2 linked regions of the Neodiprion lecontei genome follow. The protein of the gene in region 2 purifies or fractionates together with the protein of the main gene of each other region. This does not show direct contact. Links are inferred from orthologs where the notes say so. Each region holds a gene or a part of one and is shown on either strand. Other genes may lie near its edges.

Region 1 (8,003 bases), about 7.7 Mb from region 2:
TAGTTATTTACTTATTTTTCTTTTTATTCATTCTTTTTTTTCTTTTCAGCTCGCATTTCGTAAGTGTGAGATACTTTGAAAAGACTGTAACATAGGTAATACGCGACATTATACATGGCATGTAAGGTTTGCTCCAAAAGCCCTACAGTCACACCGATCTTCCTATTATAAAGTTATGTTAGGGTTCTTGGCATATTTATAAAGCCAAATCCATTCTGTTCTCCTACCTTAACAACTACCTCCAGTTTGTCGTGAATTATTTCCTGCTCTATCTTTTCCATTCCTTTTTGTGTTTGGCTGTTTTTTTCTTTTTTTATAATTTCTTTAGAGGAAGTAGTCTGGCGTCCGCCTAGTAACGTGCGGCTCACCGCGTCTCGGTGCTGGATCAAACTGAAGGCTGTAACAAAGAAATTTATATTTTATTACATATTCTTTTTGCATTTCCAATATGTCAAGAGTTTACTCTCGAAGCTATCGACCCCAACTGCAAAATAAATTCTCCAGATTTTTCCATAACTTTCAATGAGAAAGTTTCTTTTTGTTATTGAAATGCTGGTAAACCTTGTATACAAGCCAATTCAATTTTTTTTAGAATCTTCTAACTAGTATGGCAATCGTAAAAAAAGTGATAATATTTTCATTCTAGAAATAAATTCTTTTACAGCAGTGTTACTTTACATAACTCTTATACTCACAATGAATATTTCAATGCATCATCCAGTTCCATAATCGCCGCTTGATTTCCGCAGCGATAGCAATAGTTGGGCGCCGAAAAAATAGTCACAACATTACGATCGTGACACCTGGAAGAAAAATTTTATAGATTATTAAATAATCACAAATTGGTTAGTAGAAATAACAAAAGTGATATTCAACAATCAGAGAAACATCTTATCAACTAAAGCAGGGTTCGTATATTTTTTGGAAATTGAAATCCCCTGACTTTTACAGGTATTCCAGCCTGAAAATCGAAATTTTCCAGCAACCTTCAAAAAATATGCCGCCGATTGCTGACAATTTTTTTTTACATTCAAACTAATACCTTCAATATTACCTAGTAACTATGTTTATCTAATAACTCTATCAATTTACACACAACAGCCGGCGAGTTTTCATAACAAGCAAACGAAAGATAGTTTGGTACTAAGTAAGGAGGTATGTACAATGTATAGTGATGCAAGAAAAAAAATTTTGAGTGCAACTTTCTTTTTCTTAAGTACGATACTACTTTGTATAACAACAAGTTCATTTCTTCGACAGACTCAAAATTCCAGTGATATTTTGAAAACTCCCTGACTTTTCCCTGCTGTAAGAAATTCCCCGAGTTTTTTCGGTTTTCCCTGTGCATACGAACCCTGGAAAAATATGTGATGTATATTCATACAGTTCAGTTATTATTTAAGAATGAATTTTTTTATTGAAAGTTTCCCAACCGATGAACTGCTCTCAATTTATTATTCCATGTATAATTTGTCGAATTGCTAATGTGGTTAATGTGGAGACAGAACTTATTGTTAGCTACAAAAGGAAACTCACCAATTATATCCTTCCATTACCAGCTGATGAGCTCGCGATACAAGAGTTAGACCATTAGAGTGATTGAACGTCTCAGAAATGTCTTGGCCAAAGGTGTATCCTGCTCCACGAGGCGAGATACCCCATCCTCCTCTGTCATCGGGGTCTGACCAGAGTAGATCGCACATTGGACCCTGGAAATCATGATTTTTTTTCCATTTTTTATTACCAGAATTTGATACTGTTGTTATTATAAAAAGGCTCCAAATGGAACAGTATATCAGTACAAACCTCATGCGGAACTTCTTGAAGACGATCCAATGCTCTGATGTGATCGAGAGTATCGATGGAAGGTGATAACCCTCCATGAAGACAGAATATCTGACCATCGACCAATGCGGTGAGTGGCAGATAGTCAAACAGATCGGTAAAGAATTTCCATACATTCGCATTTCCATACTTGCGCAGACACTCGTCATAAAATCCGTAAACCTGTGTAATCTGTCTAGACTCGTGATTACCACGCAAAATCGTTATTCTTTCTCGATACCTCACCTGTTAAATGGTTTACACAATCTTGGAATTATTACTTTGCTTTTTACCATAATCACAACACAATAACAATTATAATCACAAAGATTAATCGAACAGTTTTTAAACTTTGATGTTACCTTGATGTTACCAGATTTTCACTTCTTTAGTCTTAAGAAAGATTACTAGTGTATAAATCTCAAAAAAAAAAATCTGGTTACTTTTTAATATTGAAGTATCAAAATACTCTTTTCTGCATTTTTTACCAAGGCTTATTGCTAATTACAACTAAGCGCAAACAGAAAATATCTTCTCAAATAAATTGTTGAAGTGATTCGTTACTGTTTAACAATTTCACCTTAAATTCACACTGCTTGGATCAAAGTGCTCATCATGGAAATACTGAGTGTTGTTTGTTTTACTATGTTTTCTTTCTTTATCATATAGTTTTATGATCGAAACTGCACTCCACCATTCATTATTATGAATATATTTCTCAAACTCGTCTAATGAATGTCTGGTGATCTCGTACCTTGAGCGCAACAAGGAGAGTAACGGTCTCAACAGAATAATATCCACGATCGACGTAATCCCCCATGAAGAGATAATTTGTATCAGGTGATTTGCCACCTATTCGGAACAGCTCCATCAGGTCGTGAAACTGTCCGTGAACATCTCCGCATACCGTCACAGGACATTTTACCTCCTGAACATTCGACTCCTTGGCCAATATTTCTTTTGCCTGAAAATTAAAAAACAGACTCAAATTATTCTCCAATGTTTACATGCTTGCATAGTCATTATTATAAACACGCTTCATTATGTCATGACTCGAGTATGTTTTAATAATATAACGTAAACTCTGGATGATAGATTTTGAATTTGCAAGAGAAAAAAAAATATGTACAAAACTGCTCCAAGTTTGAAAATACAACAGGCAAGTGGAAGTTTTCAATTTTCCCCCTTATTATGTGGAGTCTATCAATGTTCACTTCGAATAGTACATATAAAATTTCTGACTGATTTTTTTTCTAGAGTTTAAAAACAAATACTCCTGCGATAATAAAAAACTGCAGGCATTGTAGAAATACTGCAACTATGGCCAAGTTGACATTATTACAAGATGCCGATCTATCACTAGCTGATCATTAACATAAAAATGTTTTAAATTCCAAAGTTCCAACAAGTTTGTTTTTGTAGCTTACGCTTATGCTTACAGTGCTGCTATAAAAAGCATAAACAGTATAGAACAACTTGCGAAGCAGCTCACATTACCGATCGAGTTTAATAATCTTCAGCCAAATAAACCCTCAAACAAGTAAGGTTTGATGTGAAACTATACTTTCAAAATTCGAAACATATTTCTACACAATATTTGGTGGAATTATTAAAAAGGTCAACAATTATTAATTGCAAAAAGTGGGAAATCACACAGTTTTACCCATGTCGTAGTTTTCTTTTAATGAAAAATTCAAATTTTATCTAACAAAGAGAGGCGTTTTTATGACCAACCAAAGCTCAGGAACTTATCATTTTACTGTTTTAACGAACTGTTGTTTGGTTATGTTTATACAACAATCATCGTCACGAAAATGTAATATCTTTAGAAACTAATATCAACATGATTAGATCTGGATATTTTCTCTAATTCTCAAAGTTTATGACATATTATATACCAGTCCACTGAATTCCAAGTAAAACTTGTTTTGGATGATCGTAAAACATACGTTAAATCCGGTTCTGGAATTGAACCGAGTTATAACTAAAGAGTTGAGCGATGAGAAAAATTTCTTTCTGTCATAATAGTTGAGTCACTTCTTCAAATTATCTCAACACTGCATTCTGGACATTTGATAATCTGTTAAATACCTATCACTACAGAATTCGAAGTTATCAAAGTGGTTCAGCAAGGCCATACAACTTGTTTACTTATTTCGTGTTTGCAGGAAAAGATTCTTCATTTCACAAGATCAATTTTTAATGTACAAAGAATGATAAGGTGAAAGTTTGTAACGTTCAGGTCATGATCCATTTTCCTGGAAAAATCATCATGTCACAGCTTTAGATTTGTCTGAAATATAGTGAATTAAATAAATATTTTTAATAAAAAAAGTAGAGATATTTTTGAAACTTCTAGCAAGAACATTGAAATTTTATAAAACTTGTCGGAGCTAGCTGAAAAGTTCGCTGGCATGATAAAAAAATGTGAACAAATCTGAATTGACCTTCATTGGCATTAAATTCTTTTTAAATTTTAGGGTCATGATGTAATATTTTTCAGCATTAACTCTGTTGAATGCTGTTTGTTCTACGAACCTTAATACTATAAAATAGTTCTAATAAACCTTGAACTTGATTCGAAAAACATGTTACTTAATTATGAAACAAGGTATTCAATAAGATTTGTTTCTGAAAGTTCAAAGATTTTCCTGAAATTTATAAGGACTCTAGAATGAGGATTATTAATTACATAAGACCATTTTCAACAGGTAACGATTACAAATGATTTCTATCATTCTTGTCTAATAAGAATTCTTTGATTATTTAGACTTTCGAACTAATAATCTACTGTCCCTGAGTGTTTACGAGTACAAAATTAACTAATGACTATTAGGGTTGAAAAATATCGGAATTTTTCCGCAGTTAGACAATAAGAAACAGTGGAATATCTGAATGTTGTAACACAGTAAGTATCCCATGAATTTGGAAAAGGAATAATACAAATAATTCTTATTTTATTTGCTATAAAGTCTTTCGTCCTCAAGTACGTAATAATATTATTCAAAACGGCCCAATCGGTATTTAAATGATCACAGTGGAGCGTACTATGGATTTGACCTAAAATAATCGTATCCAAGGTATCAAATATCTTCTGAGCACAGCGTGGGTATTAAAACGTCAAAGTATTCGCATTTATTTTGACTGTTGTCAGCTGTGAGCAGAAGGGTTTCACAGATACCGACCTTTGAAAGATTGTGTAGAATAAAATATTAGTAACAGGCGTTGATGAAATTGTATTGCAGGAATGTTCTTCGTAGATCTGCTATTCCAGAGAAAATATTGCCCGACGTACGAAATACCGAATATGTAATCCTCTACTGCTAATCTACTAATGCTAAAAATAAGTTAAACTATTGGAAGCGTGAAACGAAGTTGAATTCATTACTATTTGTTTAAAATTTATCGCGACATCGCAGAATGACGTAGTTCGATGTGTTATTCGACAAACAAATGATAAAAAGTGTAATAAAAAATCGTCAGTACATAAAATATACATAGAGAAATAATAAAATCGTTTAAAACAAAATTACTCGTTATTACAGTGTGCGGAATATAACATGTGGTTTACAGGGAAAATGAGCAGCGAGTAAGAGGAAAAAATTCGCGGTGTGGAAGTTAATCCGATTCCGTGTAAAACAAACGGCGGCGTGGTTAATCGTTGGATAATTTTATCCGCCGTGTATTCGAGCTCGGCGAACGGGGGACGTTGGTCGTTAGCCGTAATTCAAGGTGAGTGACTATCAATTTTCGATGACATATCGGCCAATCGTATACGCCTAAGAAGACGTGGGACGATCGGTGATAGAAAGGATTTGGTGTGAAATGTTTGGAGAAGCGAGGGTTGTGTACCGAATAAAATGCTGGATAAGGTTTTTTAGCCGGGAGGCGATGTCGAGGCGCGATAGGCGTGGATAGAGATGCAGATTGTCGGCAGGGAGGAAAGAAGTTAGGAAAGTCAACGGGGAAATGAAGGAACTTGGGGTGAAAAATCTCCGGCCAGCTCACCTTTTCGCACAAAGTTTTAACTTGACTTTCTGTCAGTTGTTTGCACTCGTTCAACTGTTCGATCCATTGGTCAAGCTCTTTCAGAGACGTCACTGCCTTCTCCTCCATCGTTTGGATCTAAGCAATGTTCAATACCCGGTTGACACTTAGCACATGTAACGCAACGGGAAACTATCTTATCAATAAACTAAATCCATTCGATTTCGCTCCGGTATTATTTCAACACAAATATCTCAATCAACCACACACTCACAAAATGGCCGACAAATAGTGATGATCGGGTGACGTCACGTTTAAATTCTTCCGCTCGGCATCGCTCGCCGAGATTCGGTTTGGATCGACTAGGCTGTCTCGCTCTGGCCAATCGTAAAGCATTTTTATTTCGGCCCGCCAATCGGATTCAAAGTATACTCTTGTGGCGAAACTTTGCAGTAAGTGTCACGATCATTTCTTTTGCCCTTAATTATTGTAATTAAATCGAGGGAAGTACCGATATCCGTCAACTTATGATCAGAGTCTATGAAAATTAATGAAACTACTTTTCATTTTGGTCTGTCAGCTATTGGCGGAGCTTCAACTCTGCAACGGTTCGATGGGGTGTGTCGTTTAGATACTATTATGACTACCTGTCGCGGGAGAATTTGAAATCAATTTTGACACGATATGGAATTGGACTACGAAACTGCTTCCGCGAAAATATTTAACACGTTCTGTAATGAATTACAACTGAATTTCCATCTGGTAACCTGTGTATATGATTGTATATCATTTCCTAGAACATTATTTATCTGGTTATACACTTACCTGTAAACATGTGATGCCGGCTCGCGTCTGCATATGCTGATCGCAGTTGGTGCTGCCTCAATTGGTATTTTTACGTTTTTCGTAATTGAATTTAAATTTTAAGACAATTATGTTCGATAAAACGCCATCGTCACAATTGCTTGCCCGTAGTCATAATATGGTTACTTGATGTTACGATGAACTGTACAAGTTTCAAATAATGCTACGCTTGATCTTGCCTGGGTAGCGCAGTAGAAAATTTAAAAAAGTTTGATCATACTTACAGCTAAAAGATTCAGAAATTTGCATTATTTTTACATATGTATAAAACGGCTATATAAATGTTTTGACCATATAAATGTAATGTCTCATTTATTTAACATGAACAACTCTAAGAATTAAAAATTATACAGTCATATTCAATTGCAGAATTGGATATGTAGGATCGAGGATCTATGGAATGCCTACATTGCGGTTTATTTTTTTCATTATTTTTTCTTATAACTCTTCATCAGTTGATTCCGTTCATTCAGAAATCATTGGCAATCTTTGACTACTTCACGAGCAGTTAAAAAAAATCCGAATTGATGGCGGTTGTAATCAAAGTTGGATAGATAGTTCAACATAACATACGTTATTATAGAGAATAAAAATATCAGTTCCGAAGTTTCTACAAGCGATTATCCAATAAATTAAAAAATATTGAAACGTATTAAAACAGATTCATATTGATGTCTGCCAATTTGAAATTTAAAAAAAAACGTATTGCGTAATGAGGAAATCAATCTGAATCGACCTGTGCAAATGTTTGGAATCTTTCTTCATGGATTGACGAGGTTTGAAAAAAGAAAGCAACCAATAGAAAATTATAAAAGCACTAATCTTCGTAATCATCTTCATTTGAGGTAAATTTCAATTTGCATGTAAAATGGAATAGAAATGGATTGGCCTACCGAATTTGTATATCACATGACGAGTAAAATTAAAATTCCGTTACAATCCAATCTGAAAGAAATGGCAAGAAACCAAATTGATTGATGAATTTTCAAAATAATAGTAATCGGTTTTCTTGTAAAATTCTGATTGGTTAACGTCAAAACGAACCTGTACGTTTTATTGTTTTCTCGTGTGCTAGGTGGTTTTCTTTTTTCTGCAGTAATTATTTCGAATTAGTGGCAAGGCGATTAGTTACAGATATCGTAAAAAATTCTGAAAACCACAAATATCATGTCCGCCAGGTATTATAGAAGCAATACGTGGGTATATCAACCAGTTTACAGAGGCTGTAAATACCTATTCGATAAATAACCATAGAACTGTTATTCGAACGACCAAGTTGTAAATCTCATCATGCAGTAGTGAATATTTTCAAGAATTTTCGGCTGTAG
Region 2 (5,004 bases):
TATTCAACGACGTTCAATGGCGGAACTCACGAGTGTGCATAACAACTATCGGTACGTACGATGACGTCACGCCACCTTTGATTCGTTCCTTCGTTCTATTCGTTCCTCGGCCGCCGCCGCTGCTGCTGCTGTTGCTGTTGCTGCCACGGGCCAAACCACAGTGTTCTTCGACCACTCGCGCCATCTTCTCATCCTCACTTTTTTCACGCGAACTTTCACGAACTTTCACGAGGTTCCGTCAGCCCGCGCTTTTCGAACCGAATGCGCGTTATCGCCACCGTTTACCGAAGACTGTTAACCCTTTCATGCCTACATTTTTCCTTACATTCGATTCACTCGAAATTTTGCACACATGTGCTTTTGGGGTCGCTGATTACGAATATGAACTTGAAATTCGAAAATTCAATATGCCAGATCTAAGGTGGCGGGCAAACATACGACATTTTTTTCTTTACGTATATTAAGTTTGGACTAAAATTGGCAATCGAATTCTCATGATGGATTAGCAAAAAATGCTGTTTTTCGTGAAAAAAATACAAATTTCATTCGCTTCCTTACACCTTCGATTTCTCCAATGCATAAATAAATGAATTTTATATCTTTATTAGACCTAAAAATATTTCAGGGACGATGTGGATCCAAAAAACTCTGTAGTTTTTACCAAGAAAGTAGTTTAATAGATAAAAAGATGCTTCCAGGGGTAAAAGTTTTGAAATTCTTCCGTCAACTTCGCCATGAATGCAACCTGTCCGACCTGACGAAACTAACAATATTATCAAACGAATGGTTCGAAAGCTATAATTTAAGGTTGTTGGGACAGTATCTCGTAAGTCATAATAAAATGTAGATTTTTTTTCTATTAAATAAAAAATTGGAACATGTAAGTTAATAACTTAAATATACATGTTAAATAAATGTCTTTTGACTCGATATTTTTCCGTATAAAATAAATCCGGCAACAGTGCATCTAACTGCTATACATTATTGTTGCTAGTGTGAATGAATAATGAAACAACTTAATTTCGACGCAACGGACGATTTGTAATGGTAAAAATTTATAAAATGGTACAAAACACATGATTGAATGATTGAATTTAAAAATTGGCACGTTTTTTTATCCAACGTTACCACAGTTTTACGATTCAGATATGTCATTCAAGTATGACTGATATTGTCGTGAATTTTCGATTATTTAGATTAAAATATTTACCAAAATCCACGCCAGTATACGTTTTGTATATTTTTTGCGCAATCAACGAGAGGAGATTAATATAAATTACAATTTATTGTATTGTTATATTTAGCAGTTGTGGTCAAATTGTATCAATAATGTGCATTTTAAACAAGATTCCATATTAACTTCATGGTAAATATCTAATTTTTAATAATTAATTACACAAAAACTACACGTCAGATCTTTTTCAGAAAATTATTTTATAAGTATTTACTACCAATTAATAACATATTAATTCAGTTTTTTATCGTTACATTGCTCTAATGTCCGAACAACCTTAAATTATGATAACATGTTGTTCAGTAAAATGGAACTCGATTCGTTATAGACGAACCTTATAAACCATTAATTACAGGTCATAATTTCCTTGTTTCGACTGCACTGCTCACAGCTAACTGTACAATGCTAATATTTACCAGAAATAAAATAATTCTTAGACCTGACATCTTTGATTTATATTCCTGTATTCTCACCGATCGTTTTGTCACGCAACATTTCTGAATACACAATAATAATAACTATAGTAATGATGCAAAAGAAGCAGTTGATGAATCAGTTATACGAAGAAAACTGTAGGTATATAAGTGACAAACCTAACAACTGTGTCAATTTTTCGTGTAACTCCTCCAGGGATGAAAATAACGGACCATTTCTTGTTAGCGGAGCTTTCAGACCGTGCGGAAAACTTTCCATGACTTTTATGTGTGAATAACAGTATGATACGTTTATTATCGCTGAATTATTCCAAGAAAACCAATTTTCTCTTTTCTAATTTGTTTACAAGTTTTTCACGCGTCAGCAGAACTTTTTTGAATGTGAAAAACTTTCACTTTACATTGTGATAATTTAGCACTTTTATGAAAAATTGTCTTTTAACACGTGCTACGAACATTGGCAGATGCATCATATACAACACATAAATATCTTATTTATCGTGTATTGTCCTGCGTGTATAAATATAACCAATTTTCAAGGGGATGACAATTCCATTCGTCGAAACTGTTCGAGTACAATAAAAATACGAATGCGTTTCGAACACTTTTACCTCCTACATTTGTCTATGTACTACATATAATATATCACTAGTTGAGATCGTTACCACCCACGTCAAATAACAATTATTAATATCATTATTAAATTTCTTCTATATTCATTCGACAAGTTTCTAGTTTATAATTTACGGTATATGATTTTTCTTTTACGGGCAGTTTTCGACTGATGTTCGTGAAATTATGGATCTGGTCCAGGGACCGACTGGTAACCCAGGCACGATCTGTCTCGAGTTGCGGATCGGTAGAGGCGCTTACGTTACCGAAGAAATTAGCAAATATCAGCTAATTATCAAAGCTCTAACAACAAGACTTGGCGCGACTTAGCGTCGAACCATGTTCCATGTTATTTATTTACCTTATATGTATACCTACCTACCTATGCCTCGAACCAAGCTATTCCCAGTTGGCGTATAGACGAGTAGTTAGAAAACGAAATACGAAATCACATAGGAGATCATTTATGTTATACCGATAAGGTGTCGTCGAACACGATAATTTATAAACTTTCGAACAAATTTAATGAGAAAAATTTGAAACCCTTCCAAATCGAACGCCTTCGTGTTAAGAATGTAAAAGTAGTAGGGAGGGAGAGAAAAAAAAGACAAGCATCCTGATTCGTACACTGTTATAATAGTTACAACTACTCACGAAAATTTCTCTCGGTGTCATGTGAAATCTTTGGATTTTTAATTGGTGGTCCACGGTTGAACGAAGCTCCCGCACTTACGTTGTCACAACAATTAGAATGATCTACTGAAACGGATCTTAAACGGCCTCTAGTGTTCATCTTTACCACCGAGAACACGTTCTGAAACCGCGATCAGAGTCAGCGCACGCGATTTGACCTTACGAGAGTCTCAAAGGCTATGGTTTCCGACATATTATACACATACATATACATGATAATAGCAGTAATACACGCCGCCAGGACAGACAACGTATGTGTATACATAAGTCCTGAACTTTCAGGCAAATTGAACATGACAATATCAACACAATAGTGACGATAACAACAATTTTTCGCTTTCGAGAGGGCGACTCAATCTTCATTCTTATACCAACTGAGAAATATGTACTATACGTGTGATTACATGATGTAAGTGACACTAAGAATTTACTCCGACGAGTGGAGAAATTGCGGACCGAGTAAAGTTTGCTACGCGATATTCCAAAGTATTTCCGCCTCTTCGCGGTCTACTTGAAAATTATCTTTAATTTTTTTTTATACCTACGATTGAATTATAGTATCTATACAGATGCGTGCGTACATACACACATATGCACGCGCTCGTGCACGCAATACGTTATATACGTTCGATATTTCATTTGAAACGTGTTAAAACCGGGACAAAATGTAAACACACAGTGGTCACTAGGTGCAATCGTGCTAACAGGATATCCATACAAGGTCTCCGACGTATTCGTATATCGTGCGTTTTCGTGAATGCGCACCATGAGATCGACTCTGAGCAACTCTGCTGTTCAGTTTTTAGCACGTGGCTGATGCGAAACTCGGATCTGCTCACAGAGTGGACTTGTATCCTGAATTGCCCATAATTAGGGGACCCCTGTTGCGCATCCACAAAAACTCGACTCGAAAAGTCTTAAGCTTTTGATCCGCACAAACGTAAGTTCATAAAAAAAAAAAAAAAAAACACACGCACGCACGCGTGCGTTATATGACAAACGAAACGAGCATGTAATTATAAGTATTATGTATTCGCGGTTACGTTTCATAGGTATAATTGATGCGTGACGCAGTGCCTCGCCTGCTCGTAGGCAACTTACGTTACATGATGCCGATCTGGCATCCCATATTTTAACTAACAATAATTCGACTACGCACGCCGAATTGACGATACTTATCCAAGCATTATCTGCCGGTAAATTTAATCTATGTATACGTATTAATTATCACGGATCGTACTCGCCTCACGTAATAAAACGCGTAACCGAGAGCGCAAGTGATAATAATAAATGATCTCGTGACAACGCCTAAGCAGTAGACAACCGAAGTTGACGTTGCGTACCGCGGTATAATCGTTATCGACGGAGGAAAAGAAAAAAAGAGCGAATAGAAGGTATCGAAAAAATTACGCACGATGGCTTACTTACCACTCCTTTTATTCACAGCCGTGTTAATCATCGAGCCAAGCTTCGTGAGGCTCGACTGTCTCATAATTCCCGAAGGGTTCTTCATGTTGTGTTTGGACGAAGGCGGTATCGCTGTGACCGGTGCGGTCTTCGATCTACCGATCAAGGCTCCGCTCCGACAATTCGTATTCGGCCCTGTGCTGGGGGGCCGCTGCGGCGGGGCCCCCCAAAGGCCGACAACGCCCGCGTGACGCGTCTTGAAACAATCGGATCTCTCCGTCCCTCCGTGGGAGGAATTTTCCCCTTTCCGGTCGGCACTATTCTCCGCTTATATCGTGCCTGTGACAAAAATCAACGACAACGTGTATAAATTTTGTCAATATTGTACAATAATTTACCACATTACCGACAGTTTTTCGCCCACGCTTACATACACCGTAGAATGGGAAGGCGAAAGCCACCTGTGCGCAGGCAACTGCGATCGCGTGAATCGTACAAATTGCCTACGTATAGGCTAATTTGTCCATGATTCGCCTGTGCATAGGCAATCGCAATCTCAAAGATTGTATAAATAACCTACGTGTATACGTATTTGCCGATAATAATTTTCCCGTAGTACACAAA

What was found. Proteins that work in one complex are often made in the same cells at the same time.
Region 1: the proteins of serine/threonine-protein phosphatase 2A 55 kDa regulatory subunit B beta isoform (region 2) and serine/threonine-protein phosphatase 2A catalytic subunit beta isoform purify together in Caenorhabditis elegans (affinity purification with western blotting; 3 studies listed by BioGRID, with this or other methods). This does not show direct contact. The link is inferred for Neodiprion lecontei from reciprocal best matches to the Caenorhabditis elegans genes sur-6 and let-92.

The regions. Positions count from the first base shown.
Region 1 is NC_060262.1:7,959,874-7,967,876, reverse strand, and holds serine/threonine-protein phosphatase 2A catalytic subunit beta isoform, read right to left. Parts: upstream 6,109-8,003; 5' UTR 5,941-6,108; coding exon 5,833-5,940; intron 2,789-5,832; coding exon 2,579-2,788; intron 2,071-2,578; coding exon 1,807-2,070; intron 1,710-1,806; coding exon 1,537-1,709; intron 804-1,536; coding exon 696-803; intron 398-695; coding exon 325-397; 3' UTR 284-324; downstream 1-283.
Region 2 is NC_060262.1:307,240-312,243, forward strand, and holds the start of serine/threonine-protein phosphatase 2A 55 kDa regulatory subunit B beta isoform, read right to left. Parts: upstream 3,132-5,004; 5' UTR 3,074-3,131; coding exon 2,935-3,073; intron 2,518-2,934; exon of another isoform or gene 1,928-2,517; coding exon of another isoform or gene 1,828-1,927; intron 134-1,827; exon of another isoform or gene 41-133; coding exon of another isoform or gene 31-40; exon of another isoform or gene 1-30. UniProt on the Caenorhabditis elegans protein: Probable regulatory subunit of serine/threonine phosphatase let-92.